Canis lupus familiaris: one gene and its partners. The protein of the gene in region 7 binds, or shares a complex with, the protein of the main gene of each other region. Links are inferred from orthologs where the notes say so. Each region holds a gene or a part of one and is shown on either strand. Other genes may lie near its edges.

The links.
Region 1: SF3B5 (region 7) and small nuclear ribonucleoprotein E-like share a complex: the UniProt entries of both Homo sapiens proteins name them as parts of the minor spliceosome. The link is inferred for Canis lupus familiaris from reciprocal best matches to the Homo sapiens genes SF3B5 and SNRPE.
Region 2: SF3B5 (region 7) and SNRPD2 share a complex: the UniProt entries of both Homo sapiens proteins name them as parts of the minor spliceosome. The link is inferred for Canis lupus familiaris from reciprocal best matches to the Homo sapiens genes SF3B5 and SNRPD2.
Region 3: SF3B5 (region 7) and SF3A1 share a complex: the UniProt entries of both Homo sapiens proteins name them as parts of the 17S U2 SnRNP complex. The link is inferred for Canis lupus familiaris from reciprocal best matches to the Homo sapiens genes SF3B5 and SF3A1.
Region 4: SF3B5 (region 7) and PPIL2 share a complex: the UniProt entries of both Homo sapiens proteins name them as parts of the minor spliceosome. The link is inferred for Canis lupus familiaris from reciprocal best matches to the Homo sapiens genes SF3B5 and PPIL2.
Region 5: SF3B5 (region 7) and RBMX2 share a complex: the UniProt entries of both Homo sapiens proteins name them as parts of the minor spliceosome. The link is inferred for Canis lupus familiaris from reciprocal best matches to the Homo sapiens genes SF3B5 and RBMX2.
Region 6: SF3B5 (region 7) and SRRM1 share a complex: the UniProt entries of both Homo sapiens proteins name them as parts of the minor spliceosome. The link is inferred for Canis lupus familiaris from reciprocal best matches to the Homo sapiens genes SF3B5 and SRRM1.

The regions. Positions count from the first base shown.
Region 1 is NC_049222.1:93,812,848-93,815,913, reverse strand, and holds small nuclear ribonucleoprotein E-like, read right to left. Parts: upstream 1,470-3,066; 5' UTR 1,451-1,469; coding exon 1,172-1,450; 3' UTR 1,010-1,171; downstream 1-1,009. UniProt on the Homo sapiens protein: Plays a role in pre-mRNA splicing as a core component of the spliceosomal U1, U2, U4 and U5 small nuclear ribonucleoproteins (snRNPs), the building blocks of the spliceosome.
Region 2 is NC_049222.1:110,602,014-110,606,803, forward strand, and holds the start of SNRPD2 (small nuclear ribonucleoprotein Sm D2), read left to right. Parts: upstream 1-1,562; 5' UTR 1,563-1,611; coding exon 1,612-1,613; intron 1,614-3,363; coding exon 3,364-3,543; intron 3,544-4,790. Other genes in the region: QPCTL (glutaminyl-peptide cyclotransferase-like protein), read right to left, coding at 1-89, 589-864. UniProt on the Homo sapiens protein: Plays a role in pre-mRNA splicing as a core component of the spliceosomal U1, U2, U4 and U5 small nuclear ribonucleoproteins (snRNPs), the building blocks of the spliceosome.
Region 3 is NC_049247.1:23,909,888-23,915,027, reverse strand, and holds the start of SF3A1 (splicing factor 3A subunit 1), read left to right. Parts: upstream 1-1,942; coding exon 1,943-2,005; exon of another isoform or gene 2,006-2,053; intron 2,054-4,649; coding exon 4,650-4,771; intron 4,772-5,140. UniProt on the Homo sapiens protein: Component of the 17S U2 SnRNP complex of the spliceosome, a large ribonucleoprotein complex that removes introns from transcribed pre-mRNAs.
Region 4 is NC_049247.1:31,106,498-31,111,390, forward strand, and holds the start of PPIL2 (RING-type E3 ubiquitin-protein ligase PPIL2), read left to right. Parts: upstream 1-1,884; 5' UTR 1,885-2,014; coding exon 2,015-2,046; intron 2,047-2,983; coding exon 2,984-3,033; intron 3,034-3,856; coding exon 3,857-3,902; intron 3,903-4,893. Other genes in the region: uncharacterized protein LOC608641, read left to right, coding at 1-4. UniProt on the Homo sapiens protein: Has a ubiquitin-protein ligase activity acting as an E3 ubiquitin protein ligase or as an ubiquitin-ubiquitin ligase promoting elongation of ubiquitin chains on substrates.
Region 5 is NC_049260.1:102,441,541-102,446,311, forward strand, and holds the end of RBMX2 (RNA-binding motif protein, X-linked 2), read left to right. Parts: intron 1-39; coding exon 40-217; intron 218-676; coding exon 677-1,221; 3' UTR 1,222-3,818; downstream 3,819-4,771. UniProt on the Homo sapiens protein: Involved in pre-mRNA splicing as component of the activated spliceosome. As a component of the minor spliceosome, involved in the splicing of U12-type introns in pre-mRNAs.
Region 6 is NC_049223.1:74,413,440-74,417,789, reverse strand, and holds the end of SRRM1 (serine/arginine repetitive matrix protein 1), read left to right. Parts: intron 1-1,738; coding exon 1,739-1,948; intron 1,949-2,470; coding exon 2,471-2,575; 3' UTR 2,576-3,502; downstream 3,503-4,350. UniProt on the Homo sapiens protein: Part of pre- and post-splicing multiprotein mRNP complexes. As a component of the minor spliceosome, involved in the splicing of U12-type introns in pre-mRNAs. Involved in numerous pre-mRNA processing events.
Region 7 is NC_049222.1:35,794,773-35,798,059, reverse strand, and holds SF3B5 (splicing factor 3B subunit 5), read left to right. Parts: upstream 1-1,848; 5' UTR 1,849-1,982; coding exon 1,983-2,243; 3' UTR 2,244-2,593; downstream 2,594-3,287. UniProt on the Homo sapiens protein: Component of the 17S U2 SnRNP complex of the spliceosome, a large ribonucleoprotein complex that removes introns from transcribed pre-mRNAs.

The DNA of each region.
Region 1 (3,066 bases), about 58 Mb from region 7:
AACTACATTTTTGCATATAAACCCTTTTATAACTTGTTTATGTGCAGCCTTTCTAAAAACACTTCATGATCTAGTGAATGCAGGGACAATATTCTATCATTTACAGCAGAAATAGTGGAGTGCCTGGTGGCTCAGTCAATTGGGTGTCTGACTCTTGATTTAGGCTCAAGTCATGACATCAGGGTGGTGAGATCAGGCCCTACATCTGGCTCCATGTTTAGCGGAGAGTTTCCTAGAGATTCTCTCCCTCTCCCTCCACTCCTCCCCCATTCACATTCTCTCTCTTTCAAAAATTAAATAAATAAAGTATCTTATCATTGTATCTTCAGTGTTTACTTTTTCCTTTTTTGCTATTTTTTTAAATTTTTTATTTAAATTCTATTAATTAATATGTAATGTATTATTGGTTTCAGAGGTAGAGGTCCATGATGCATCAGCACAATGGACTATTATCCATAAAAAAGAATGAGATCTTGCCATTTGCAATAACGTGGATGGCCCTAGAGGGTATTATGCTGAACGAAACAACTCAGACAGAAAAAGACAAATACTATATGATTTCACTTATGTGTGGAACTAAAAAAACAAAATGAAGGAACAAACAAAACAGAAACAGACTCATAGATACAGAGAACAAACTGGTGGTTGTCAAAGGGGGTTTAGGGGGATGGGCAAAATGGGTAAAAGGGAGTAAGAAGTACAGACTTCTTGTTATGGAATGAATAAGTCAAGGGAATGAAAAGTACAGGGTAGGGAATACAATCAATGATATTGTAATTGGGTTGTGTGGTGGCAGATGGTAGTTACACTTTCGGTAAGTATAGCATAATATGTAGACTTGTCAAATACTATGTTGTACACCTAAAACTACTATAACATTGTGTATCAACTTCAATTAAAACACACACACATGCACGCATGCACGTACACACACACACACACACACACACACACAGATTGTTGGGCCTCATCCCCAGAGTTTCTTTTTTTTTCTTTTTTTTTTTTTTTTAATAAAAACAATCCCACAGCATTTATTGTCCTCTGGTAAGAACATAAAGGTAATCAAAACAATATGAACAAGGGTTTTAGAACTATATTCCCAACAAAGGACATCTAAAAAAACAAACTACGTGGCCTTCTCAAGAATTTCTCACTTCACTGATCATTCATTCTAGTTGGAGACACTTTGGAGCAGGGTAATATTATCTCCTTTTAGCATGATCCGACCCAGTTGTTTTCTTGACTTTGTTTTAGAATGAATCTCTTTGGCATCGTCTAATACAAGGCTCATGTACTCATCAAAACCAATGATACAGCCCTCTATCCGCATGTTTATTTGCTCATAAAGCCACACCTGAATCCGAGATCTATTTTGCAAGTATCTGAAGATGAGGTTGATGGGCTGAACCATCACCTTCTGCACTTTCTGGCCCTGGCCACGGTACGCCATGGTGGAAGCGGACCCCAGAGTTTCTTTAATACATCTGCAACAAGGCCTAAGAATTTACATTTCTTTTTTTTTTTTAGGATTTATTTATTTATTTGTTTATTTGTTTATTTATTTATTTGAGAGAGAGAGAACACATGAGTGGGAGGGAGAGGGAGAAAGAATCTAAAGCAGACTCCCCACTGAGCATGGAGCCCCAACACAGGGCTTACTTAATTTCATGATTGCAAGAACATGACCTGAACCAAAACCAAGAATCAGATGCTCAACTGACTGAGCCACCCAGGTGCCCCAGAATTTATATTTCTAACAACTTCTGAGGTGGTGTCAATGCTTCTGGCTTAAGGATCACTCTTTGAGAAACTTAAGAAACAAACAAAAATGTATGGGATGCCTTCCTGTGTACCTACATACACCTGATTGGAGCTGCAGAATAAGAGAAGAAAGAGAAAGGGGCAGAAAGAATATTTGAAAACATAGTGAGCAGATCTTTCCAAATTTGATGAAATACATAAATCTACACATCCAAGTTATTATAGTCCCTATGTAGAATTGGCTCCTGCAGATGAGAACTCTGTCCTGGCTGACACCTTCATTACAATCTTGTGTGGCCCTGTAGCATAGCACCAAGCTTGGCCATCCCTAAATGCCTGCCCACAGAAACCGTGAGATAATGAGTATGTGTTCAAGCCACTAAGTGTATGGTTATTTGTTACCCAGCTACAGAAAATTAATACACTAGTCTGTCTGGCTCCTGCAGTCTATGCTCCTTGTCCCTTTCCTGATTAGTTAAACATATCATGAAAGGCAGTAACTGAGGAGTTGGTAGAGATTATAGACTTTCAGAGTTCCAAGAAACTCACAGGGCACTAGTCCAGCACCTCTAAGACATGCAGATCCCCTTCCTCAAGGGAACATCTAAGAAAATAGGGATATTGGGGATCCCTGGGTGGCTCAGCAGTTTAGCACCTGCCTTCGGCCCAGGGTGTGATCCTGGAGACCTGGGATCGAGTCCCTCATCAGGCTCCCTGCATGGAGCCTGCTTCTCCCTCAGCCTGTGTCTCTGCCTCTCTCTTCCTGTGTCTCTCATGAATAAATGAATGGAATCTTTTTTTTAATTAATTAATTAATTTATTTATTTATTTATTGGAATCTTTTTTAAAAAAAGAAGAAGATTGGGATATTGAACTATAAGATGGTGATCTGAGTCCCAATAACATTGAGATGATGACTAGGGATAACTACAAGTAGTGCTTTTAAATATTTTTTATGGCTGAGTGAAGTAAGTTAGTCGGAGAAGGACAAACATTATATGTTCTCATTCATGTGGGGAATATAAATAATAGTGAAAGGGAATATAAGGGAAGGGAGAAGAAATGTGTGGGAAATATCAGAAAGGGAGACAGAACATAAAGACTGCTAACTCTGGGAAACGAACTAGGGGTGGTAGAAGGGGAGGAGGGCAGGGGGGTGGGAGTGAATGGGTGACGGGCACTGGGGGTTATTCTGTATGTTGGTAAATTGAACACCAATAAAAAATAAATAAAAATAAATAAATAAATATTTTTTATGATTCATAGAGACCCACTGATTATGATATTTACTCTCTTTTCCTGTCA
Region 2 (4,790 bases), about 75 Mb from region 7:
CGCAGATAAGTGTTCCAGAGACGGTGTGGGTCCAGTTGCCCCACCACCCGCCGCAGCCGGGCTTCGGAGAGGCTTCCGATCAAGCGGCCCTTAGGAGGAGGGAGCAAGGAGAGGGAAGAGAAGAACCGAACGTGAGGGCAACCCCCATTCCAACCCTAACCCGGACGCCATCGCACCTAAGAAGCCCCGGTTCTTCTTCCTAATTCGAACCTCCAGCATCGGAGGTTTCCAGAAGAAATCCTAGGCTAAGGAAAGTCCCTCTAAACCCACCAGGTCCAGCCCACCTCAATCCTGATGGGGAAATCGAGGCCGAGAGAGAGGAAGGGACTCTTCCAAATAGCTGACTTTCAGATTGGAACCCAGAATTCCCAGTGTTACTACTGCAGACTCTCCCTCTTAGGTAGAACCACCTATTACAGAACAAGCCCAAAGCCTCAGTTCGTTAGCAACGGGCATGCGCTCTATCGACGGAGACCGCAGCACCTGCAGCTTGGGCCAGACGACACAGCCACGTCAACCTGAGACCTCAGGGAAGGGGAGGCGGGGAATGAGGGCTCCCGCGGTGCCCGTGCCCCTGCCGGGCCTCACCCGCAGCTCCCGGCCCCGCGGCAGCTCCTCAGTCTGGTGGTGCCAGCCGCTCCAGATGGTGTAGGTCGCCGAAGCCAGGGCCAGGGCCAGCAGAAGCAGAGGCAAGAAGTGCGCCCGCGGGAGCAGGCGGCGCTTGGGCGGGGAGGGCGGCTCCAAGAGGCCACGTTCCCCGAGCCGTAGCCGGGACCGCCCGCGGCCCCCGGAAGGCATGGCAGCTTCGCCCCGAAACCGGTCCCGGACCGCGGATAGTTTAGGCCCAGCCAAATCCCACCCCATGGAATCACCGAACCAATAAACACGAAGAGCGGCTGCACCATCCCACCCACCCTCGGTCAGTGAAACCAATGGCGACCCTCACTCTGAGAACACGCCTTCCTGTCTCCCTGGGGCTTTGGGGTTGGTTCCCCTGAGGGTTGCACAACCCAAAAGGGTAGTGCGAAAGGGAGAGGCTCCGCCTCAACGGAGGAACGGAAGCCAATGAGCAATGTTTGATCCTGAAAAACGTTGGACCAAGGAGCAGGTCTCCGCCCCTCCCGTAGGAAGGCAAAGGATTGGTTACTCGAAGTCGGAAAGATCAATAGACACGTAAACGAACCGACACCGATGGAAAAGGGGCGGTGCCCGTCCCAGAAGCGAGGAGCCGATTGGCTACACGGAGGCCGCGCCCCCGAGGGCGGAGCCGGCGGGCTTTTGGAATGCCGTGTCCTGTCCCTTCTTCAGCTTGTGCCGCTCTACAACGAAACGATTTGAGTCGGACCCGCTTTATTCTTCTCTCCATTGTCTTCTCTCCATATGGTCCTGAAAGACCCTGAGCTACTACGCAGTGCTTCTACCCCACGTCTGCGCGGGGCCGGCGCGGATTGCCACGGCAACAGGCCTCGCCCACACCGTGCAGGTTGGGATTGCGCAGGCGCCGACGGAAGTCGGCCACAGGAAACGGAAGTCCCGCCTGTAGCCCTCTCTTCAGAGGCAGGAGCAACGCGGGGAAGACGGAGCTGATCTGCGAGCGCAGCCGCTACCACCATGTGAGGCCCGGCGGGAGTGGGGTCGAGGGCGTAGATGTGGCCGTTTGCCGGTGGTGGGCGAGGCGGGATCGGAGGCAGAGGTTTTAGGGGTAAAGTACGCACCGTTCTGACGAGTTTGAGGATGGGCATGGGGCCTTTTACGGGTCCTGAGTTCGAGGGAAGGCACTTGATCAGTTAATGAGCCGGGATTTCCCCGATAATGAGTCTCGCTGAAATGGATTTTAAGGGGAAGCAAAGAACCTGGGAAACGGGAGTGCGGAGTTTTAGAAATAACGGTTTGAGGTACGGGACTTACCCGGACAATTTGAGCTGGAGAAGTTCACCTCATTCGCGACTTTTTCGGCTCACGAATCGCCTTAATGATTTTCCTGATTTGGTATTCATTCAGCAATTATTTATTGAGCACTCATGTATTAGGCACTGCTTTAACTACGTGAGATACATCAGTGACTGCGACCCCCATCCCGCAAGAAAAATGCCCTGCTGCAGCTTATGGGTGTGGGAAAAGGCAGACAATGAACACACCGGTGATAAAAATGTAAAGTGTATGGCGTGTGTTAGGTGATCAGAGCTAAGTGAGTAAAGAAGCAAAAGAGCAGGATCCAAACAATGGGGAGTACTAGTTTTGAGAGAAAGTAACTCAATAACCAGTGCAGGACACATTGAGAAGGCAGCAGTTGAGCAGAGACCTGAAGAACCTGAGAACCACAAAGATACCTGGGGAGGTATCCAGGCAGAGGGAAAACGAAGGGAGATGCCCAAGGTGAAAGTCTGTCTAATATCTTATATATTTTTTAAAGATTTTATTTACTTGTGAGAGACACAGAGAAGCAGTATCCCCACAGGGAGCCCGATGTGGGACTCGATCCCAGCATCCCTGGGTCAGGATCTTTTTTTTTTTTTTTTTTTAAGATTTTATTTATTTATTCATGATAGACATAGGGGGAGAGAGAGGCAGAGACTCAGGCAGAGGGAGAAGCAGGCTCCATGCAGGGAGCCCGATGTGGGACTTGATCCCGGGACTCCAGGATCGTGCCCTGGGCCAAAGGCAGACGCTAAACCGCTGAGCCACCCAGGGATTCCCCCTGGGTCAGGATCTGAGCCGAAAGCAGATGCTCAGCCATTGAGCTACCCAGGCGCCCCTTGCCTAATATCTTAAAGGACCACCTTCAAGGCCACTGGCTGGAACAGAGAAGGATGGGAAGATGCCAGGCATTGTAAAAACTTTGGGTTTTACTTTTTACACAGAGATGGGAGCCATGGGAGGGTTTCGAAGAGTGAAATGATATGACTTAGATTTTGATACAACCTCTGGGACTGCTGTGGAGAACAGACGGTCAGCGGCATGGGCTGAGGTAGGGAGACAAGTAAGGCTCTCAGGAGAGAGATGATAGAGGTTTAGGCCATGGTAAGAAACAGATTCTGGGTATATTTTAGAGGCAGATGACAGAATTTGCTGACATTGAATGTAGGATGTGAGAGAGAAGAGTCAAGTTGATATCAGGGTTTCTGCTCAAGGAACTAGAATGATGGAGATGAGGAAGGCTGTGGAAAGAGTAGGTTTGAGTGATTGGGAGATCTGGAGCTCAACTGAGGATGTATACGGTTGGAAATGTCTATTCAGCATCCAGCTGGTGATGCCATGCAAGAGGGACTGAGCAGGGGGGTGGGTGGGTTGGGGAGACATCATGTGACCACCCACGCTCTAGCTCTGGGCCTCTCACCTACGGGTTCCATGCTTGCCCCTCAGGAGCCTCCTCAACAAACCCAAGAGTGAGATGACCCCAGAGGAGCTACAGAAGCGGGAGGAGGAAGAGTTTAACACGGGTCCGCTCTCTGTGCTCACACAGTCAGTCAAGAACAACACCCAGGTGCTTATCAACTGCCGCAACAACAAGAAGCTCCTGGGCCGTGTGAAGGCTTTCGACAGGTAAGCACCTGGGTCCTGGAAGGTGTTCTGTCTTGGAAATGCAGACACAGTTCCAGTGTGAGGAACCCAAATACAAGGTTTTCAGAGTCCTGGGGCATAAGCATATTCAGACCTCAAAGTGCAATGGTGTCTTGTTGTCCTTCCAGCTGTGCAGTACAGTAGTGATGGGCATGTACTTGGGAGCCAGGCTTCCTGGGTTTGTGTCTCGACTCTGCCTCTTAGCAGCCATGAAACCTTCAACAAGTAACTTTATCTCTTCCATTCAATGGCAGTAATTCTGGTGATTGCAGAGATTCAGTGACTTAATACATGTGATGTGTAATACAGTCATTAGAAGTACAGCATCTGGCACCAGGAAGCTCTTATTAATCAGGTTTTGCAGTTACGATATAAAGTACCATGCCCCAAAAGAAAAAAATAAAGTACCATGCCCAGTACTTTTTTTAGGCTCCAGAGACACAGCAATGACTGAAAGAGGACTCCTATACTTAAGAGAGCTTATGCCATAGGTAGGGAAACCAACAGCAAGCACACAAACAATGTGTCATAAGAATAGTAAAGGCAGGTGAGAGTGTGGAGTGCTGGGAAGGAGGTGTTGTCCTAGACGGTAACGCTAGGGGTTCCATAGGAAGAGACCGTGATGAACAGACCTAAATACAATGAAGGAGGAAGCCAGGGTCTGAGTGTTTCAGCCAGAGGGAACAGCAAGTGTTATTTCCTCTCTCGGCCTCAGTGTCCTTGTCTGCAAACTGTGCGTCATAAAAATACCCCTCATAGAACAGTTGTGAGGATTAAATATTTCTGTAGGAAGGGTACTTGGCTCAGTAGCTAACATGATAAATGCTCAATAAACATAAAACCTGCAGCCTTCAGTTAGCATTTGGGAAGTGGTATGGCGAAGTGTAAGTCTAGAATGTTTTTGCCACGAGCTGTTACATGACCATGAATAAGTCTTTTCACTTGGAGCCTCGGTTTCTTCTCAAGGAGAATAAGAGTGAGAACAGGAAGTATTGGGCCCAAAAAGGCAGATAGACCTAGATTTGAACAGGGCTGTGCCACTTCTAAAACATCATCCCACTGCGCCAGTGTCCTGCTCTGCAAGCTGGGGGTGATACTAGTGTTTACCTTCTGGGGGTGAGATGTAGTGAGAATTACTGGCTTACTGCTTCGAAGAGGGCACCTGGGTGCTTAGTAAGAGCACAATCGGTGGTGGTTTATTCATATACATTTGTGTGTCCACATCTTTT
Region 3 (5,140 bases), on a different chromosome or scaffold from region 7:
GACTTGAAGAGAAGGGAAGGAGCCTTTTCTCTACTCCCATTCAACATGCAAGCCCCTTCGTTCATTGAGTCATAGGACTCAATGGACCAGTCATAGGACCCCGCTGGTAAAGATTATGCCTACCTCCTGGTCAATGCCCCTCCTGAGATTCAAGGTAACAACCATGAAAACATTTTGAAAACTCTGAAATTATCTATATATCCCAGTTGTCAGCCTCTGACTCAGGACTGCTAATTGCCTGGATCCCTAGGGACAATGAAGGGACTTGGTGAAGACAAAGGAATAAGCCGCGGCACTGAGAGAGGAGTAAGAATGGCCTGGGTTTGGATTCCCACGCCACTAACTCTGAACTTCACTCTCCTCATCTGTAAATAAACTGCTGTAAGAAATTAGTGATGTACTGCGTGTAGTGTTTGGTGCAATAGCTGTCCATGATAAACTTACGTTCAATAAAACCTAGTTATAAATAAAATCTTAAAAGAAAAAAAAAGGATCCCTGTGTGGTTCAGCGGTTTAGCGCCTGCCTTTGGCCCAGGGCTTGATCCTGGAGTCCTGGGATCCATTCCCACATCAGGCTCCCTGCATGGAGCCTGCTTCTCCCTCTGCCTGTGTCCCTGCCTCTCTCTCTCTCTCTGTGTGTCTCTCATGAATAAATAAATAAAATATTTAAACAAACAAAAAACCCCACAATAAGTCCTAGCTATCATTATCATTCTACATTAATAATAACAACGACAAGGCAGCCGGGGTGGCACAGCGGTTTAGCGCCGCCTTCAGCCCAGGGTGTGATCCTGGAGACCAGGGATCGAGTCCCACATCGGGCTCCCTGCATGGAGCCTGCTTCTCCCTCTGCCTGTGTCTCTGCCTCTCTTTCTCTCTGTGTCTCTCATGAATAAATAAAATAAAATAAAATAAAATAAAATAAAATCTTTAAAAAAAATAACGACATAAACCAGCTACGGAGTGTGTGCTTGTGAGAAAGAGAGATGGGGTAAGACATTTGGTAGGGCATCTTTTCCTATCCCGTTTCCATTTCGCAAGTAAAGAAATTGTTAAACTATCCAAGCAAAGGCTAAAAGTCGACCCGCGGTCCGGAGCTGGGATGGAGAGGAGAGGGGACGAGGTGGACCGGATCTCAGGAAAGGAAATGGAAAGAGCGGGATTCGAGGTGAGCTCGGTAAAACTAAGGAAGTGGTCAGGAGGAACGCACCTTTGGGAGTGAGGGACGGAGCTTAAAGAAGTCTTGATTCGAGACGGTCCACGGGGCTTGAGGGCGGGACCATGGAAGGCAGAGGGTGGAACCTTGAAAGGCAGTCCCACGGGAAGAGAAACCAGTGGGAATTTGATTTCGGGACTTGGGAAGGGAGTCTGAAGGAAGAAGGCATGAAGCGAAACCGGCTGAGGAAGGAGGCGGGGCCTTGAGGAGGCAGGTTGGAGGGGAAGGGGTTCTCCAAAATGACAAGCCAATGGGAGGGAGCGGAAGGCCCTTGAAGGCGGGGTCGGAGGGAGAGAAGAACCCACCTTTAAAGTAAAGGAGAGGGGGGGCCAGGGCCGTGGGGTGCGTGCGGAGAGCGTCCGGTGGGTGATGTAGAACGTCTCCCCAGGATCCTGCGTCGCAGCCTCAGCCCCTGTGGTCTGGTCGGCTCATGGAACTGCCCCCCGACGCGCCTAGGGCTCCGGGGAACCCCCACAAATCCTAGCTGGGTGCCTCGATCGCTGCCATGGCAACGGCGTCTCGCGCTGATCACTCCAGGGCGGGAGCAGGAAGTTGCATCATGAATAAGGGGCGGTCCCGGAAGTGCGTCAGCTCCTCCTCCTTGGCGTCGAGTCTCTCGGACGCCGCCATCTTGCGAGCTTGTTGTATCGTCCGTGCGGGGAGCTGCTTTGACGCAGCACCGCTCACCTTCAGCGAGGCGGACTGGCAGCCCTGAGCGTCGCAGTCATGCCGGCCGGACCCGTGCAGGCGGTGCCCCCGCCGCCGCCCGCGGCCACCGAGCCCAAACAGGTACCGCGACCCCCACACCTCGACCGGCAGCCCTATCCTCGGCTTGGGCCCTCCCCTCCAGCGCGGGCACTCCTCACTAAGGCAGAGGAAGAAGCGGCCGCTTACGAGGGCTTGGAGGACTACAAGTCCCAGGAGGCCGCGCGCTTCCCGCTCTGCGCGGCCTTCGGTAACGAAAGCGCCCTTGGAAGTGTGGTCCACGGACCAACAGCATCAACATTGCCCGGGAGTTCATTAGAAATGCTAGACCTAAATATTAATACATTTTTAATAAGATCTCAAGGTGATTGATTAAAGTTTGAGAAACACTGATTATGCCCATTCGCAGGTTTTCTGTGGTTATTGGGCCCACCTTTGGCCCTCCTCACCCTCGCCTTTCCCGCCGGCTTTTGCCCAGCAGTCCTTAATTTCGCATCCTGTACGGTACAGTTTAGACAGTTCACAGCATCTGCTTGGTGCTTACTCTAAGCCAAACACCGTACCATGCTCCGGCTTACCCAGAATGAATGAAGCACAACTAGTGTAGGCAGCTCATGGTTCTAGTGGGGAGGCAGATATAAGATGAATATTCTACAAATGTTTATTTTTTCGATCACCGTAAATGATACAGTCAGCACTTATTAGCTGAGAGGGAAAAGGGTGTGTAAATAATTGCAGTACTGTGTGATAGGCACTTTTAGTATCAGGTACAAAAGAAACAAAGCAACATTTCTTTGATGGAGTGTAGGGGAAATTAAAGTAGGTGAAGCCTACATGAGTGACAGGTAAATGGCTTTTAGAAGGATGAATTAGTAGTTTGCCAGACAGGTGATTGGAAAAGGTTAATGGCATCCTTTATTCATTAAGCAAACATTTATTCAATACATGCTATATGGTGACCACTGCTTTGGGTTTAGAATACAGCAGAGTACATGATAGAAGAGGTCTGTACCCTTACCACAAGTATTTTAAATATATCTGTATTCCTGGCATTTCCCAAGTCACTTGGGGAAAAGTAAACAAAGTAATACCAGATAATTGCAAAGACATCAGGGTAGGAATCAGATGATGTCTCTGGTAAAGAGTAAATTAAAAAGTGTGATTGAAACATAGGATTGGGAGAGTGGTGGCAAAAGATGCATTTGGGGGCATTTGAACTTTCCTAGTAGATAGTGGGGAGAAAGGGAAGAGTTTGGAGCTGGTTAATGACATGTTTGTGTTTCAGAAATTCAGGTAGGCAGGTAGTGATGAGAATTGCTAGGAGCACAGTTTACTCAAAAGATGCTGAGAGGTGGTTTGGGGGGGCAGACTGGATGGGCAAGCTCAAGTCACAATATGGCTGGTGGTACAGACTCTGCAACTAAAGTGATGGAATCCAACTAAAGTTTTGGAATCCTGGTCTTCCATTTGGGCCAGTTAAGCTTTATGTTCCTCAGTTCTTTCATCTGTAAAATGGGGGGGAATAAGAGTATTCACATGAAAGGGCTCTCATAAAGGCTATAGCGTTAATTTATTTAAAGTTCTTAGAAAAGTATATGGAACCTACTGCGTGCTTGATAAATGTTATCGTTGAATGTGGAGGCTGAGGAAGGGAAAGGAGGCCCATGTTTCTGCCCTGGATGACAGTATATTGTTGGCCAGTTATGAGAAAAGTGGTTAGAGAGGAAAGTGCCTGGGAGTCAGCTGGATCTGGAGTTCTGTGGCACACAAGAGTGATCGGGGACATCAATTTGTGTGTGATTGTTCAGCCTAGAAGTGGTAGGGGAAGTGAAGGACCCATGGTTGGAGTGCCTGAGGACAGTGTGAATACTGTGGAGAATAGAATTTTGGGGAACTCTAATATAGGGCAGGAGGTGAAACAGGAGCCAGGAAGGAAACTCGGATGGAATGGTGAGCAAGAAGGCAAAACACATGAGAATGGGGCCTGGGATTTGAGTGGAGAGGTTTGTGAGGGAATGGTCATGGTCACATGACCAGATAGATGACTGCTGTAGTTGGCTGTAGGCAGTCATATTTGACCAAATTTGGCAAGAGCACTTGAAATGGATGGGAACCAAACAGGAGCTGAGGAAATAGGTAGGAATGGCAAGACAGAGAACTCAGGAAATTTAGCTATCAGAGGAAGAGGAGGAGAGGACAGCCACAGAAAAGAATATGAGGGCAGGGAACTGCTATTTTTTAAGATGAGAGACTGACCCTTTGTTTACTAAGGGAAAGAAACTGGTGAAGAAAGAATATTGGAATTTACAGGATAGTTGATGTATATTCCAGTAGGGTTTCACAAAACATTTGAGCATTGAGTGGTAAAGACTGGAATAGATGCAGAGGAAAACGACATAAGGAGCTGCCAGCAAAGAATCGCCTATCTTTATTCAGCAGTCATTATCTGGACTCTTGGTACAAATGCAGATTCTCAGTGTCACTGAGACCAGCTAGCAGCAGGAAGCCAAGGAGGCTGCTCTCTTCACTGGTTCCCTGCGAGAGTTCCATGCAAGTGCTGTACAATTAAGAGAACTGCTTTTCTGGAGCAATGGGTCCTAACTCAAGAAAAGTTCGTAAGAGAGAGTCTATACTGGCAATAAATTTTAGAGGAGGTTGACAGTAGGGATCCAGTCCCCCAGATCAGGAGTGTCGAGACATCATTTTCCTTTCCTTTTGTTTTTCACAGCCCACAGAAGAAGAAGCTTCTTCAAAGGAGGATTCTACCCCCTCCAAGCCAGTGGTGGGAATTATTTATCCTCCTCCGGAGGTCAGGAATATCGTTGACAAGACTGCCAGCTTTGTGGCCAGGTAACATAGCTGCTTCTGCATTGTCCCCTGGGTCCGGTAGCTTATCTAACCCCACAGCGGTCATGAGGTAGGCAGTGGGCAAGATTGGCGTCTCCAGGACAACATGGCCATGGCAGAATGTGAGTCACGCCATCCCCAGGTCGCCAGGAGCCAATGCTTCCAAAGTAGGCCTGAGGAAGTGCCTGGAAAGCTGTCATGGATAATGTGTGTGTGTGTCTGAGCTGCTGACTGGAGGAAGACATGAAAAGGTGTTGATCATTCTTAACCATGCAAGAACTGCACTCCTTAGACCTTCAACTGACCCATCTGCAAAATGGAATAAAATAATGCTTCAGAGTTGTTGTGAGGCAGGAGAGAAGGAATGAGGCC
Region 4 (4,893 bases), on a different chromosome or scaffold from region 7:
ATAGCCTCTTCCCTACAGACCATGGCTAAAGGAATGAATAAAGTTCCCATGGAGGTGCCTTACTTGTGCTGGGCTCCCTAGAGGCTGTGCAATCCCATGGGCTTCCTCCAGCCCTGAAGAGGCTGTCAGGGGAGTGCAAGCCTGAGGCCCCCTCGGCCTGAGCCTGCATACAGTAATTGGTCAGGTCTGTGCTACTGTGAAGTCCCCTTGCTTGCACTCTACATGGGAATTCAGCCACAGCGCTTTGGTTTTTTGTTTTTGTTTTAAAGCTTTTATTTAGGTAGCCAGAGAGCATGAGTGGGGAGGAGCAGGGAGCCTGATATAGGGCTCTATCCCAGGACCCTGAGATCATGACCTGAGTGGCAGCTGGACACTTAACTGAGCCACCCAGGCGCCCCAACCACAGCACTTTGAAATGAGTGATGAGACTGCTGTCCTCCCCTACAGTGACTCTGTGGCCCCTTTGGGGCCTCAACTGACCGCACTGAGTTGCAAGTCTATTAGTTTTTCCTAGCTTAGGCCCCTAAACCAGGCCTTATCCAGGTGTGGGTGTAGAAAGAGTGATCTGTTCCCTCCCTTATTTTCCAATAAGCTGGTATGTTAGGTATGTTAGGGTTTTTTGTTTTTGTTTGTTTGGTTTTTTTTTTTTTTTTTTTTGGATTTATTTATTTGAGAGAGCACAGAGGGAGAGGGAGAAGCAGATTCCCTGCCTAGCAGGAAGCTGGATGCAGGGCTCAATCCTGGGACCCCAGGATCATGACCTGGGCCAAAGGCAGACGCTTAACTGACTGAGCCACCCAGGTGCTCCTGGTGTGTTAGTTTTCAACTAACAACCCTAGGGCACCCCCCTATGGAATTTCAGAGATGGGACCCATCTTACACACCAGCTATAGAATCAAACCTGCGTGTGAGAGGAGTCCTCACAAAATGCTTGATGACTGCTGGACAGTAGCAGATATTTGTTGAACCTCTGTGTATGCCCCACACCTTGCTTGGGAGATAATAAACCAAATGGTTGGGGTCCTTACTCTTAAGGAGCTTCCATCCTATCCTTGTGGATGTGTATCTAACCAGTGCACAGATCAAATTAGTAACAGGGTTAGAAGTTGTGGTAAGTCCAATGGGAGCTGAGTATGCAGACACGTATGCGTAGGTTGTCTGTCAGTGAAGGTCCCTCTGAGGAGGTGACATTTATATCGAAATCTAGAATATGAGGAGGCAGCTATGAGATGAGAAAGGGCAAGGACCACTGGCTTTGGGTGACTGGCTAGTGGTACAGTTGAGGAAACGGCGGGGGGGGGGGGGGGGGCTGTGAATGGGGTAAGGAGAATGCTATTTTGACCAGACATGTTAAATTTGAGATCTGTGGTACCTAAGTAGAGGCCAGGGGTCTGGAAGTGTGGACGTTTAGTGATAAGAATCAAGGGATACAAGTGGTATTTAAAGCCAGGAGCCTGGGCGAGATCACCCAGTGATCTAGGGCTCAGGCCTGGGCACACGGACACAGCGATCTGGTGGAGGGAAGGGTCCTTAGGAAGACACGGAAGAGAGCCGCGAGGGCGCTGGACCTTCAGGGCCACGTGCCCCCGAGCCGCCAAGGCGAGGGGCCCGGAGGCGGTGGGGGCTGGACGGGCGGGGATGCTGGGCACGCAAGGAAGCAGAGATGAGGCCGAGACTGGTGGGACTCGCGGTGCCAGGCCTGAGAGGCCGGGGCGGGCTCGAGCAGGGACGGACGGGGCCGCGGCTGGTGCGCACGTGGAGGGGTCCCGAGCCCGCCTCCCGCGGCCACCTGACCAGGACCCGAGCCCCAGGACCCACCGCACCCCGTGCCCATGCGCACTCGGCTCCAGACGCCGCGCTTCCGGTCCGCCCTGCGCCCGCTTCCGGGGCGGGGCCGCGGGACCCGGAAGTAATTAGGGAGCTCGGCGGACAAGTCGGAGTCTGAGTTGTTGACAGCCGTTTCTCTGCCCTCGCTGGTCCTGGCGCTGCCAGCGCCGCCGCCGCCGCCGCCGTCATGGGGAAGCGACAGCATCAGAAGGACAAGATGTGAGTTGAGCCGCTGGGCCTCCGTGCCCGCCCGGCCCGCCCCCCAGCTGGTTCCCAGAGCCACGCTCCGATGCCGCTGGGTCCGCAAAGCCTCCGCCCCCTCCCCGGTGGGCAGTGACCCCCCCCGGGCGCCGAGGTCTCCGGCTGCCGGTTCTGACCCGTCGTAGGTGCCCTCCTCCGAGCGCGGCCTTCCCGCCCGGTCTGCACTCGCGAGCGCGGCTCCTCAGTCAGCCCTTTGCCTTCTTGTGTCTCTTGAAATCACTCCAGGCAGGCTTTTCTCCCAAGGCCAACTCTTGTCAGAATCCCAGTAACTTACCTGTTGCTAAGTCTAGTGGTCAGCTCTCAATTCTCATTTTGTTGGGCTTCTCAACAGCATGTGACACAGTGACCACCTCGATCCTCCTGAAGCCCTTCTTCGGCATGTGGGACACCTTATGCTCTTGATTTTCCTTCTGCCTCAGCGGCCACTGTCTTCTCAGGCCCCTTCGCTGGATCCTTCTCCCTCTCCCACAGACTTGGTACATCCATGTCCTCCACGTTTTTTTCTCCTTTACATTCTCCCTTGTGGTATCCCCTCTTGGAGTAGTCAGCTGCTTACTCGGCATCTCCAGTTGGAGGTCTGATATCTCAAATTTATTTTTTATGAAGATTTTATTTATTTATTCATGAGACACACACACACAGAGGCAGAGACACAGGCAGAGGGAGAAGCGGACTCCATGCAGAGAGCCCGATGCGGGAACCGACCCCGGGTCTCCAGGATCACACCCCGGGCGGAGGTGGCGCTAAACCGCTGAGCCACCTGGGCTGCCCCATAGTAGGTGTTTAATAAGCATTTGCTGAATGAGTGAAATGATTGAGTCATCAGTTACTTCCAGAGACTCTGTTCTCTTTATAAAGGGAGATGGTAGTAAGATTCTCTCTCTCTCTTCTTCAGGTATATTACCTGTGCTGAATACACTCACTTCTATGGTGGCAAGAAACCAGGTAAGGCATGCAATCCTTCTGTTTTCCTTGGTGTGGATGTGTGTCATGGGGGAGGTTGTAATTAAGGGCGCTATCTTCACTAGACAATGAGACTGTAAAAATTAACAATGAGCAAGAACACAGAAAGTGTAGCAGATGGATGCGTTTAGAACGCAGATAATTTGCAAAGGAGAAATTCACTAAACATATCCAAGAAAAATGCTTAATCCTCTTGGTGGCGATTTTTTTTTTTTTTTAACAGAGCACGCGAGATCGAGCGAGGGCAGAGGGAGGGAGAATCTCAAGCTGACTCCATGCTGATGTGGAGCTCAATCTCATGACCCTGAGACCATGACCTCAGCTGAAATTAAGAGTCAGCTTAACCAACTGAGCCACCTAGGCACCCCAGTGATGATATTTTTGGACGTAGATTAAAATAACCTTCTTTCTTCTGTCAGGTTAATAAAAAATAAAAAGAATGATAATACCCAAAGCTGTCAAGGCTCCAGTAAAAAGAGTAAAAATTATTATACACTCAATAATTGCTGATGGAGGTAAAACCAACATAGTTGTCTTTGAAAGCCAAGCAAGGCCCTAAGCAGGGGTGTGAGGGTTGTGGGAGAAACCCAGCCGCAGTGGCTTAAGCAAGTATGTACTTTGGCCTCTAAGTTCTTTCTTGATGTCCTCCACGTGTTCTACCTATTAAAAGGTTTTTAAGCCACAGCAGTTTTTGCACTAGGTAATTTACACGAAGTTTTTCTTAACATGGTATTGAATTGTTGGTAGGAACACCTACATAAAGTTATTTATAGAATAAACTTTGTTTTATTTTCATCTTAAACAGATATCCCACAAGCAAATTTTCGTCGTTTACCTTTTGATCACTGCAGGTAAGAGTTGTTAGTGTTCATCTGTTCCTCTGAGCTGTTCTCTGATACTCATGATTTGACAGTGAATCTGATCCTTGGGGGATGCAGATGTGGTTTCTTTTTTTAAATTTTTAAAAAAAGATTTTATTTATTCATTCATGAGAGACACACAGAGAGAGAGGCAGAGACACAGGCAGAGAGAGAAGCAGGTTCCATGCAGGGAGCCCAATGCGAGACTTGATCCTGGAACCCCAGGATCATGCCCCAGGCTGAAGGGATGTGCCCAACCTGAGCCATCCAGGGGTCCCCAGATGTGGTTTCTACCTGTGTTCCCCCACCTAGATCTTCCTTAAACTGAGAGAAAGTGACCTCACAATGATAAGAACTAATACTTAGTGTGCTCATTCTTTGTATATTTATGCATTGTTTATTTTCTCCTCTTTCTTACCTTCCAAGGTCAGTAGACTCTGCTGTTAAGCCTATTTTAACTTGAGAGGATCAGTGTTTAGAAGTGGGAAGTCCTTCACCCAGGTGTCACATCCAGGAAGTGATGCCATTGAGGTTGGACTCCAGGCCCATGTCTTTCATGCTTTACTTTTAATACAGAGTCTAAGTAATAGCATTGATAATCAGTCATGATACTGTGAGCCCCTCCCCCCTTCCCTGGGAACACAGGTTACTGGTGGGGATGGGGAGAGACCCAGCTGCAGAGCCACTGAGATGCTTCCTCCCGCCGTGGCTGGTATGTGTATGAACAGAATGGGTCTGCTGGAGAAGTGGGGCTAGGATTAATGAACCTCAAGACATTGGAGGTTTGGGGATGGTCCGTTTGGGCCTGAGTTTCCCCAAACTCAAGCTTGATCATCCCTGTTGGACACCTACACCATGTGTGTGTGTCCCATTGGGTTCTGATTCCATAGATGACGATGAGCCTTGAGACCTGATAGAGCTCTCCTAGTGATCTCAGCCAGACCCCACAGGGCGGTAAGGGTATAGGAAGGGCCAGGGTAGC
Region 5 (4,771 bases), on a different chromosome or scaffold from region 7:
TAGGGCCCTCTCTGCTGAAGCATTGCCTGTCTGTCTTAGATCAAAGGAAGAACTATCCGAGTGGATCATGTGTCTAACTATCGGGCTCCTAAGGACTCAGAAGAAATGGATGATGTGACCAAAGAGCTCCAAGAGAAGGGCTGTGGGGCTCACACCCCCTCCGTGAGTTCATCCGAGGGTTCCGAAGATGACAAACCCCCAAAAAAATACAAAAAAGGTAAAGCACTAAGACCTGAGAGAAGATTCTGGGTAGTCTTAGTGTTTGCTCCTCCTAGTATTCACTGAGAATTGGTAATCAGTTATTAGGTGTGAAAAGGAAGGGTGTGGGGAACCGTATAGTAATTGGGAAAGGAGAGGTATCAGTGGAAGACTAATATCATGGGCTGAATTCTGTTTCCCAGTTCATATGTTGGAGTCCTAATCCCTCGAGACCTTAGAATGTGACTGTATTTGGAGGTCGGGTCTTTAGAAAGGTAATTTGGGGATGAGGATTGCCTTATCCAGTGACTTGACCTGTCAAGGGGGACAGTTGTCAAAGTTGACTTCTCACAGATGCTTTTCTGGAAGTATAGATTATGAGTGCTTCCCAATGCTACCAGTAGTGCTTTCCTTTGGCATACCCTCCCCCCTTCCCCCTCTTCCTTTCCTTATTGGTTGTGCCCCTTTTTCCCTCCAGACAAAAAGGAGAAAAAGAGAAGAAAGAAAGACAAAGAGAACACTGACCAGGAAGTACAGACAGAGCATCCAGTCTCCTCTTCATCCCCCAGAAACCAGATGGAAAAGGAAAAGGATGACCCTGGCTCTAAAAAGCACAGCACCAAGAACCCAGAGAGGGGTCAGAAGTCAGAACCCAGAGAGGTGCGCAAGCACCACCACAGCTCTCCCGAGGTCAAGACCACCTGCCGCAGCAGAGCAGAGGACAGAGAGAGGGAGCCGAGGAAGGAGAAGCCCAGGCACGAACGTAGGTCCTCAAGCAGGAGGGAGGAAAGAGAAGAAAAGAACAGAGAGAGAGAGAGACAGAGAGAAAGAGAGAGAGACAGAGACAGAGACAGAGCCAGAGGCCGAAGCTCAGACAGGCATTCCAGCCGGCACAATGGGCGTTCTGAGGGGCATAGCCGGAGAGGTAGAAGCAGGAGCCGAGAGAGATCGCACAGGCGTAAGAGGGCCCGGCACTCGCGTGACCGGGACTCCTCCAACCCCAGTGACCGCAGGCACCACTGAAGCTGTGGCCTGTTTGACAGTCTACTAGTACTGGAAATGGACTTGATCTTGAAAATGCAGTCATACTCAATTACACTTTTACTGTGAGGTAAATCTCTGGGCTAAATTCTTCCAATCCCTTGAGTATGAGAGTCATCGAGAGCTGTAGTCTTAACAGCCACATATCCTATACTTTTGACAAAATCCATTGTTCCTGGGAACATGCTCAGGACTTAAATTTGGTTTCGTAAATATGGCCCTTGAATTTACGACCCCAGTTTATGACATAATTGCCAGGAAAGGGGAAATACCAGGCAATCTAGGGATTCTAGTCTTTGTGCTAGATGTTTAGGTGGCAAGCCAGTTGGCAGGTACAGCCATAGAATAGAGGAGTGTGGTTTAACTAGATCTGGACAGCTTGATGGGAAGGGGATAGTGATTCTTAACACCAGCCCCCTCTCTCTGCCCCCTGCCCTCCTTTAAAAAAATTTTTAAACATCTGTTTTTCAATGTCCATGCACCGCCTCACTATTTATTTATTTATTTATTTATTTTGATCGAGGTGAAATTCACATAACATCAGATTAACCATTTCAAAGGGAACAATCCAGTGGCCTTTGGTATCTTCACAGTGTTGTAAAACCACCACTCCTGTGTAGTTCTAAAACATTTCCATCACTCCAGAATGAAACACTGTGCCCATTAAGCAGTTACTCTCCATTCCCCCCTCCTCGTCTCTGTCAGCCACCAATCTGCTTTTCATTCCTATTGGAACTACCCATTCTGCACATTTTATGCAAGTGGAATTGTACAATATATGGCCTTTTGTGTCTGGTGTCTTTCACTTAGTATATTTTTGAGGTTCATCCATTATTGCGGCATGGATCAGTACTTTGTTCCTTTTTATGGCTATCCATGGCATGGATAGACCACATTTTGTTTATCCATTCCTTGGTGGATGGACATTTGGATTGTTTCTACCTTTTGGCTAGCCAGCTGTTTCCACATTTCAGACAGGCCAGGCCACTTTTGGGTCATTTCCTTTTCAAGTAGCTGTTCTTGCTGAGATGGGAACACTTTGTCAGCTTCATTGCGTATCTCTCTGGTCGCCTTGGCAGGTTTTTTTTTTTTTTTTCTCATTTTGAGAACCTTGTCCTTTTAGTTTTTCAGTCAGTCCCTTATTGAGTTAGGTAGGAATTAGTTTGCAGGACCATAACACCGCTGCTGAATTACTAAGCTTGCACTTCTGACCCTTCAAAACAAAGGAACAGAGCTTTAATAGTGAACACATTTAATTAGTTTACTTGGTATGTTAGTTTGGGTCCAAGATTAGATGTGCAAGAGATTTTGTTTTTAGGAGAAAATGCCCATGAAAGAAAATGGGAAAGGAGGCTGGAGAAGTCCGGAAAAGCAGTCCGACTCTGATAGAAGTCTAACCTCTGGAGAAGAGGGAAAGCAAGAAGGAAGGTTGGGTAGGAAAAAGGCTTAAACTGCTATGGAGTTGTGAGAATGTTTGAGCAAGACCAATAAAATGGGAGCCAAAGCACCTGTCAGAAGATTCCCACTAGATCAGCTTTGGTAAGCAGAAGTCCTTGCTCTTGGGCCATGGCACTCTCTTTATGTGTCCATCATCCCAGTTGTGTAGTAGCCACTGACAAAAGGCCTATGCACCTCAGTCATTTTGTCTGCCTGGCAGTTTAGTGCTTCTTCTGTGGTGGATGCTCTGATGAATGTTAGCATGTGATACAAAAGTATTCACACTTTGCCTTATCTCTCACATGTCAGTCCACAGTTTTTACACCATACCTCCTTGTCTCTGATTTTTACCTCTTGTCCTTCCAGTCTCTCAACTGGATGGCCAGGCCACTGGCCACTGCCCAGGAGTCTGTGTATACCCAATTAAGAGTCTCACATTATGCCTCTTCTTTTACACCAAGTCAGGTGTACTACGTTAGATCCCATTCATTGGAAGATGTTTCCTTCTCCACCCCTGAATGTGGCAGTAAGGCAGATACCATTCATCATCACTATGTGCCCACATACTGAACGAACCCACATAAAAACCAAGCTCAAGCTGTTTTCTGCCTCAGCTGGTCATACATACAGGGACCCCCATTTGGCTAGAGGTGCAAAGATAGAGGGGCTACCATTCTTTGCATCTTCTAGGTTTTTAATAGTAGCACTGATTTACTCTGGCTCCACTGAGATGTAATATTGTTTTGATTTATGTATCAATTAGGGTTTTACCGGGAAAATAACCAGTAGGATATGTATATCTTGCTGTAAGCCAATTCCTAATGAGAAAACATGCAGGCATACCTCATTTTATTATGCTTTGCTTAATTGTGTTTCACAGATAAACTGTGGTTGTTTTTGTTTTGTTTTTTTGTTTTTTGTTTTTCAAAGTAAGGGTTTGTGGCAACCCTGTGTGAAACAAGTCTCTGTCATTTTCCAACAGCATTTTCTTCGTTTCTCTGTCAGATTTTGATAATCACAACATTTCAAACTTTTTCATTATTATTACATTTGTTACGGTGATCTGTGATTGATGGTTATGATTTACTGAAAGCTCAGATATTGGTTAGCATTTTTTTAGCAATAAAGTATTTTTAAATTAAGATATGTTCATTGTTTTTTTTTTACATACAATGCTATTACATACTTAGTAAACTATAGTGTAAACATAAATTTATATGCACTGGGAAATGAAAAGATACATGTGACTTGCTTTATTGTGATACTTGCTTTATTGTGGTCTGGAACTAAACCCCCAATAGCTCTGAGGTATGCCTGTGTGTGTATGTGTGTATGTGTATGGCAAGGAATTGAATTATACAGTTGTGTGGACTGGTTAGGCAAATCTGAAATTTATAGGGCGGGACAGCAGGCTGGAAACGCTTGGGCAGTAGCTGATACTGCAGTCCATAGGCAGAATTTCTTCAGGGAAATCATAGTTTTGCTATTAGGTTCTTCAACTGATTAGATAAGGCCCACCCTGATTATCAAGGATAATCTCTTGAAAATCAACTGATGGTAGATGTTAATCACATCTATGAAATACTTGCATAGCAACACCTATATTGTTGTTTGATTGACTAGTTGGGTACTATAGCCTGAGCCAAGTTGATACAGATAAGTAACCAGTCAATGTATTCTTGTCCAAGGTGGAGGAGAACAGTTTTAGAGGTTTCCACTTGACTTTCCTCACTGTGACAGCTCCTGCCCTAAAAGCCAGGGACCCCTGTGGGGAATACTCTTTAAGTACCAACTCAATTCCAGTTACATACTTGAGGAGTGGGAAATGACCACTAGGTCAATCTGCAGGCCCCCTGTGAGTCTTGTTTGAGGCCAAGACTTCAGTGATTACTCAGCCCTGGAGCCCCCAGCCCCCTATTTAGGGCCATGATCATGCTTCAGGTGTCTAGGTATCAATGTTAACTTTGATCTTGAGTCCAGTATTCCTTGAGTGTCTGGCTGTCTCCCCAGTGTACAGACACTGATATAAGTGACTATAGGTCCCATTAGGGGAGGTCCTGGGGCATATATGTCATTGTTCTTCCTTTTAGGGACC
Region 6 (4,350 bases), on a different chromosome or scaffold from region 7:
ATAATATATTTCTATAAAAAATGAACCTGGCAACCTGTAAAATACTAGCTGAAGTGGAAAGTACAGTATTGTCTGGTTTAGTCTTAACCTCTGGCAAGTTGCATAAATAAGGGACACCTGGTGGCTCAGCGGTTGAGCACCTGCCTTCGGCCCAGGGTGTGCTTCCAGAGTCCAGGGAGCGAGTCCCACATCGGGCTCCCGGCATGGAGCCTGCTTCTCCCTCTGCCTGTGTCTCTGCCTCTCTCTGTGTGTCTCTCTCATGAATAAATAAATAAAATCTTTAATTAAAAAAAAAGTTGCATAAATAAGAATAACACTTGTTTTTACCTTGTGAAGTTTAAATGTCATTGGGATATTAAAGTATTGGAGTTTAAACTATATCATCCCCTCTATGAATCATTAATCTGATCTTGAATAGGTTTCTTTATTGTATGAAGTCAGTAGTTAGATGTCCATGTCAGCAGTCGGGTTGCCTGAATTACTTTACAAAGTAATTGAATGGATTGAGGAATTTTAAGTAACTGCTTACAAATGTGAAATTTGAGAATTACAGATGGAATTCAATTACAGCAGAATTGCCCTTTGCATAATTTTGGCGTTAACAGTTGGACCCTTGAATAGCATTGAGCGGGGCCACTTACACATGGAAATTTTTGGTGAATACAGTACAGCATTGTAAATGTGTTTTTTCTTCCTTATACTTTTTTTTTCCTTATACTTAATGTTTTTTTCTGCAGTTTATTTTATTGTAAGAATATAGCATAAAATGTACATAACGCACAAAATATGTGTTCAGTGACTGTTTATGTTACCCATAAGGCTTCTGGTCTATGTACAGACTGAGGGCTTGTTATATACAGGTTTTCAACTGCATGGAGAGTTGTTGCCTCTAATCCCCCATGTTGTTCAACGGTCAGTGGTTATGCATTAAGGAACAATTTCCAGTCTAGAGCCAGGAGAAGCTGTAACAGTGGCTGGAGAATGGGGCATTCACATGAGTGTGTGTTTAGAATAATAACTGTACTTACTGAAAGCCTGCCACCTGTTAGGCTAGTATTGTGGGCAGTTTACAGATAGACCCTGACAGCTTTATTGGGGACTGCTGTACCCATTTAGGTTTACAGAGGGAGCTTAGAAAAATATTTGAGGTCAAATGGTGAACAGGTTCAGGAGCCAGATTCACCTGAAGTCTAGCTGAGTTCAGAGACTTCTCTTTTGCACATGTTGCTTTCCCTATATTTGGAGGTAGCTTGGGATCCTGGACACCTGACTGGCCTCTCATGGTTGGGAAATTTGGTTTAATGTGGGGGAGATCAGAAAGGTCCTTCAGGGTCCATTCTGACTTTTTTTTTTTTTTTTTAACTTTTATTTATTTATGAGAGAGAGAGAGAGAGAGAGAGGCAAAGACATAGGCAGAGGGAGAAGCAGGCTCCACGCAAGGAGCCCAGTGTGGGACTTGATCCCAGATCCCAGGATCACATCCTGAGCCAAAGGCAGACGCTTCACCACTGAGCCACCCAGGCATCTTAAAATCTTAAAATCTGGGAAGAGCATCTTTACTTGCAATGTGGTTTTCATACTTTTCTTGGCAGGGATTGCCCTTGGGCTCCCCCTCCCCCAAAGCCTTGGGGACTCCTGAGATTTGTCCATTTAATTATTCCCTTGAGAAAGTAAAACGTTTATTGGACAACATTTTAATCTGATTGATGTTATTGTTGGGATTTTTCTGGATTTCTAGAACTCAGACCCAGAAGGAGGTGGAAAGAAAAAGAAGAAAAAGAAGGACAAGAAACACAAAAAGGATAAGAAGCACAAGAAGCACAAAAAACACAAGAAGGAAAAGGCCATGGCAGCAGCCGCTGCAGCAGCTGTCACTCCCACGGCCCCTGCGGCCCCCACGACCACATCAGCACAGGAGGAACCGGAGGCAGAGCCCGAGCCTAAGAAGGTACGTGTGTGTCTTAGACTTCTACAGATCGCTTGGTCACTTGTTGAGAAGAAAAGAATTTTTTTACAATAATGGCTACTCGGCTGTTAGCTAACTCTTCTGATCTATCCTCATTCTTGATATCTACCAAGACGAAGGAGAAGAATATGAATGGCTGCCAAATGCTTACTGTATATTTTTAAAAAATAACTTCTTTAAGATATAATTAACGTGCCATTCACCTATTAAAAGGCACTCAAGGGTGCCTGGCTGGCTCAGTAGAGCACACAACTCTTAACCTCAGGGTTTCAGGGTTGTGAGTTCAAGCCCTGTGTTGGGTATAGAGTACTTAAGTAAAGTAAATTTAAAAAGAAAGTATATGATTGAGGGGTTTTTAGTATATTCATAGAGTTGTGCAGCTGATTGAGGGGGTTTTAGTGTATTAGAGTTGTGCAGTCACTGCCATGATGTGGTTCTGCCCTTGCACCCTACACCTCTCTGCCAGTGTGTCAGGACTCACCAGTGTGGCCCCTCTGGTTTTAGGAAACGGAGAGTGAGCCTGAAGACAACCTCGACGACTTAGAGAAGCACCTGCGTGAAAAGGCGCTGAGGTCGATGCGGAAGGCTCAAGTGTCCCCACAGTCTTAGGCGGGAATGTGTGTCACGATGTACATTTTATTTGGTTTGTATGCAATTCAATTTCAAAATTGCTAAAATGTGTTTGAGCTTTAGACTATAACATTTGTTGTAATAATTGCTAGGTTGAAGTTCACCATGTAAAAAAAAAAGGGGCATGGATTTACATTGCAAAAGGTGTCCACAGTGTATTAGTGACATTCTTTCATTGACAGCTGACATAAATTCATTTAGAGTGAAATATTTTAAGCCAAAAAAAAAATCCTCTTTTTAAAAAAGGGGGTTTCAATATTGTTGGCATTTTTATGGTTTCTTTAAAGGCCTTGGCTATTCCCAGAGGTTTTCCTTTCTTGTCATTTTTTTTTTCTTTATTTTTTTCTCATTTGAGTCTTAGCACCCATTTAAGTTATGATGCTTCCAACCTTGTATGGTTTGCAAGCTTGCCCAGAAATAAGACCACTGTTGAACTACCACAAAGTATAAATGAATATTTTAATGCCACAATCTTTCCTGTTGCCTGTGGAGTCTCTGCTGAAATGAATCAGGATTCGAGCTCTAGGACGAGATGGAAAATGAAAGCATGTTGTTTGCCAGGACACTGTGGGTTTATATTGATGTGTAACAAGTTGATTTGGAACACTGGAATTCATTCTATTCTGTTGTGTTTTTTTGTAAAGGCAATTAACTAGTCCCAGGAAGGATCCTTCAGTTATATAAAAGTTTGTTTTATGAAATGTCATGGCTCCATTCATAATTTTGTCTTGTTCTTCCAATTGGTATATACAACTTTCAGAGCTCTCGTATTTGGAAGGCTGGAAGGGCCCAGACTTTGAAATAGTGTCTTGTTTTCACTGTTTTTGTTTTTTTGTTTTTTTTTTTTTTAAACTAAAGCTATATAAAGCTTGTGGATTAAACAGAATAAATTTCTAAATTTAAAAATGTTGGCCACTCACTTTTACTTAACCGTCTCAATACTGCAGGAACCCACCTTTTTTTTTTTTTTTAATAGAAATCTTAGTTAAGCCTATGTTTTTACCCCCCTTGGCACCTTTGGCACACTGAGGATTGGGCAAGGGAAATAAATGGTGAAATTATTTTTCCGTCTTTATTTTAATAATGAGTGCAGTAAGTGCTGTGAAGGCAAAGTGTGTGGTGAGATGGGAACACCTATGCTAGACAGGGCAAAGTCAGCGAGGCGCTCCAACAGAGTAGTATCTGCGTACAGCTGGAGAGGCAGAAGGAGCCTGGCACATTCCAGGAAGTGCAGGAGGGCCAAAGGAGTGACTGGAGCAACCTCCCTCTTGGGGTCTGTGTATTTAGTGACAAGTGAGTCATTTTTGCACTTCAGATTTAGCAGAGCAAAGTGACTTGAAACTTGGAGTTGGTTTGTAGAAGGTAAACTAGCAACATAACGAAGTTAGAAGGGAATTTTTGACACCGTGGATCTAAGCTGAGTGACACATGGGCAGTTAATGTGATTGATTTCTGGTAGTCGAAACTAAAAGAAAATGTCTACACATCTTAACTATAGGAAGACTTAGTGGGGACAGTGTTTACCTGAAGGACATGGACATAGAAGGGGCTCTTTTTACAGGTGGGTTTTTAGGATGATTTGTAAGGCGGCAAAACTTAAATGAAGCTGCTCTGTAGTGAACTAAGGTAGTCTGTAATTGGTAACAGCACCTTACCTGTGTGCTGCAACCAAGTCTTCAAGATCTTACATGTGACTTCCTTTTGATTGCATAATTCTGTGATTCAAGAAAAGCACAGTATATCCAGTTTCTAAA
Region 7 (3,287 bases):
AAAATGAACTAAAACCGCGTATATTAACATGGATTCTGATGAGGGAAAAATACCCACAGGGTATCATTTATGTTAAACTTCAAATAACCCCTTAGATACACAAACTTTCAGCAATCAACAGCAAAAACAAAAAACCCCAACCAGACTGGGAAATGGTGACCTTTAAATTCAAGCTGGTTTCTTGAAGTAAATAGATTATGGAGGGGAACACAGAGAACTTCATTTTTTATATTTTATGTCTTTGAAAACCAAAACCAAAACAAATATAACCAAGTTGGAAGCAATGGCAAAATGGTAAGCTCTGATATATCTGGACAGTGAATCCTCAGGTATATCTTATAACAGTCTCCACATTTTAGGAATGAAATGTTATATAACATGGTTTAAACCAAAGAATAAGACTTTTATTTTTCCATTTTTGGTACAGGCATTTGTTCCCATAAAGAATGCTTTTTGTCATTTTCTTTCCTTTAAATATTTTTTTTTTTTTAGAAAATAAAAATTGCTTATGTTTTAGGTTTGCAACATGATTTAATGGATATGCATAATGAAATGATCGCTACAGTTGAGCTAATCAACACGTCCTGAAATCCACTCTCTTGGCAAATTTCTAATATTCAATACAGGATTAACTTCAATCATCATGCTGTGTGTACATTAGATCTCTAGACTTACTCATCTGTACCTAACTGCAGAACAGAACTATTTTAAAGTCATCTTTCTCCCACTAAAGAGTCCCTTCTATTTGCTGCCACAGTTGTTCATCCATTCATCAAACGTTTTTTGAGAATGCGAGCTCTACCAGGCCAAGTATCGCAAGTGTGGTTATCACAAAAAAGATGCCACAAAAGAAGCTATGATAAATGATGGCATCAAAAAAGTATACGCTACTTTCCCCCAAGTAGTTTGAATTCACACGAGGGAGTTCTCAGAAAAAAAAAAAAAAAAAAAGAACCCAAAGCGTAGGCTATAAGGCGATCATAATGAAGCGATGTACAGGAGACTTTACGTCTGTCTGGTGTGGCCAAAGCCGATTTCAAGGAGATGCTTTTGAGCTGACTTAAAGAGAGAAGTTGTTTGCCAAGGGAACAAAAGCATTCCAAGCGGAGGGAACATCTAGTACAAAGAACTGGAGAGGCGAGCGGCACGGAATGCTGAGACACACAGGCTGGGGTGCGTAGGGTGGGGCGAGCAGCTGGAGGCAGGACATCAAATGAAGCAGCTGGAGCGCCGGGGGGCGGGGGGGGGCGGGGGGGGCGGGGCTCGGTGTGGGAGCCCGAACGTGTCGGCGCCCGAACGTGTCGGCGCCCGTAGGGTCCTCGGGCACCGGGCGGGAAACGGCGGCCCCGCCAGCGCTGAAGGAAGACGCACAGCTGGGAGCCGCAGTCGCGTCGACCGATTCTCAGGGTGACCCACCCCGGGCCGTGACGGGGCCCACCACGCCGCCACATTCGCTCCGAAACCAAAGTTACACCGAGGTTACTCTCACGGCGGCCTGTGGCAGCTCCCCATTTCTTCGCAGCTCCCAGCCGCCCAGGGATGCTCCCCGCCTCCCCGACACGACGCTCCACCAGGCGCCGGCGGGCTCTTAAACCGCGACGACCGCCCAGGGAGGCGGGCGCGCACGAACCCTCGGCGACCGCAGCTCCCGGCATGCAACGCTCCGCGCTAGAGCAAGGGCCACTGAATGAACCATGATGCAACGCTCTACGGAGGGGGCGGAGCTCTCCATGGCGGGGGCGGGGGGTGGGCGGCCGACTGGTAGCGTCGCCTAGGCAACTCCAATTCCCTGACGGAATACACTTCCGCTTCCTCCTCTGAGCGCTAGGACCGCGAGTCCTCGCGGCTCCGTGGCTGTGACGTCATTCTCCTGCGACTGAGCCGGCCGGGAGGTGCCGTGTCGTGGGCTCTCTCCCGCGTGGAAGTCTAGAGCAGCTTCTCCTCTGCGGCGTCTGACCTGGGCGCGAAGGGAAAGCGGCGAGATGACTGACCGCTACACTATCCACAGCCAGCTGGAGCACCTGCAGTCCAAGTACATCGGCACGGGCCACGCCGACACCACCAAGTGGGAGTGGCTGGTAAACCAGCACCGCGACTCCTACTGCTCCTACATGGGCCACTTCGACCTTCTCAACTACTTCGCCATTGCGGAGAATGAGAGCAAAGCGCGAGTCCGCTTCAACTTGATGGAGAAGATGCTGCAGCCTTGCGGACCGCCAGCCGACAAGCCGGAGGAGAACTGACACCCCCGTCTCGTCACTGCCACGCGGGAGCGTGTCCCGAGTTCCTCCCGTTTGCCGTTTCTCCCGCGTGTTCCTGCCCCGAAGTGGACCGGTTCTCCATTGCTCCTGTTTCTCGCGCCTTCCTCGTGCACAAGTGCTTAGCTGAGGCCGTCCCGCCTGACCTGCTTTCCTGTGGACCCTTAGGAACAGCGTTGGGAGACTGTCAGGACCCGTGAGAACTGAGACGGTGGAGAGGTCCTAAACCAGCAAGAGAGGGGGGAAGGAACTGGGATCAGACGGGATTTGGAGGCTCTTTTTTGGCTAGTTGATTGTCGTTTCTTTTTCCATAAAGTCTAGAAGTTTTTCAATCACTTGGTGTGGACCACTTGCGTTTGAGTGGAAGGGGGTCCAAGGAGGGCTTTGGGGACTTTAGTTTCTTGGGAGACCGAAGAGGCGGGAGATGGATGGGTGGAGGAGTTGAGCACAGGGCCAGCGTTCATTGGCATACAGTTAAATCCGCCTTGCACGATCTTTATAATATTCCCCAACCCAGACTTCTCCCAAGAGCTTTTTTCAGGCCCATAATGCCTTCAGGACTGAGGATTAAGGTTTATGATCACTGTATCCCTCTTTCATGTTCTTGCATTCAGAAAAATCTTTACTAGCATTGCCCACTCCTCTATGTAAGTTGCATCGTCTCTTTCTCTTGGGATTCTGGACACATCCTGAAAAACGACAGGCTGTCAGACGAGTTCTTTCATTCATTCGGCATTCAACAAATACTTGTTGAGTCAGTTCTATGTGGTGGGCATTTTGCCTCGCTTTTGGAGCTTATGTTATACTTGGGGGGGCACACAAATTGTAGGCATAAACAAGTTTATTAGGTGTTGTGCAGGATGGGAGTAGCAGTACGTTTGCACTTTCAAACAAGATGCTTATGTTAGACTATAGAGATGGTTACACTTGAGCAAGACTAAGGAAGGGAGGGAAATAGTCACACAGAAAACAGGGAATTGCTTTCCAGGCAGAGGGAACTGCTAGTGCAATGGTGGTAATACTGAAATT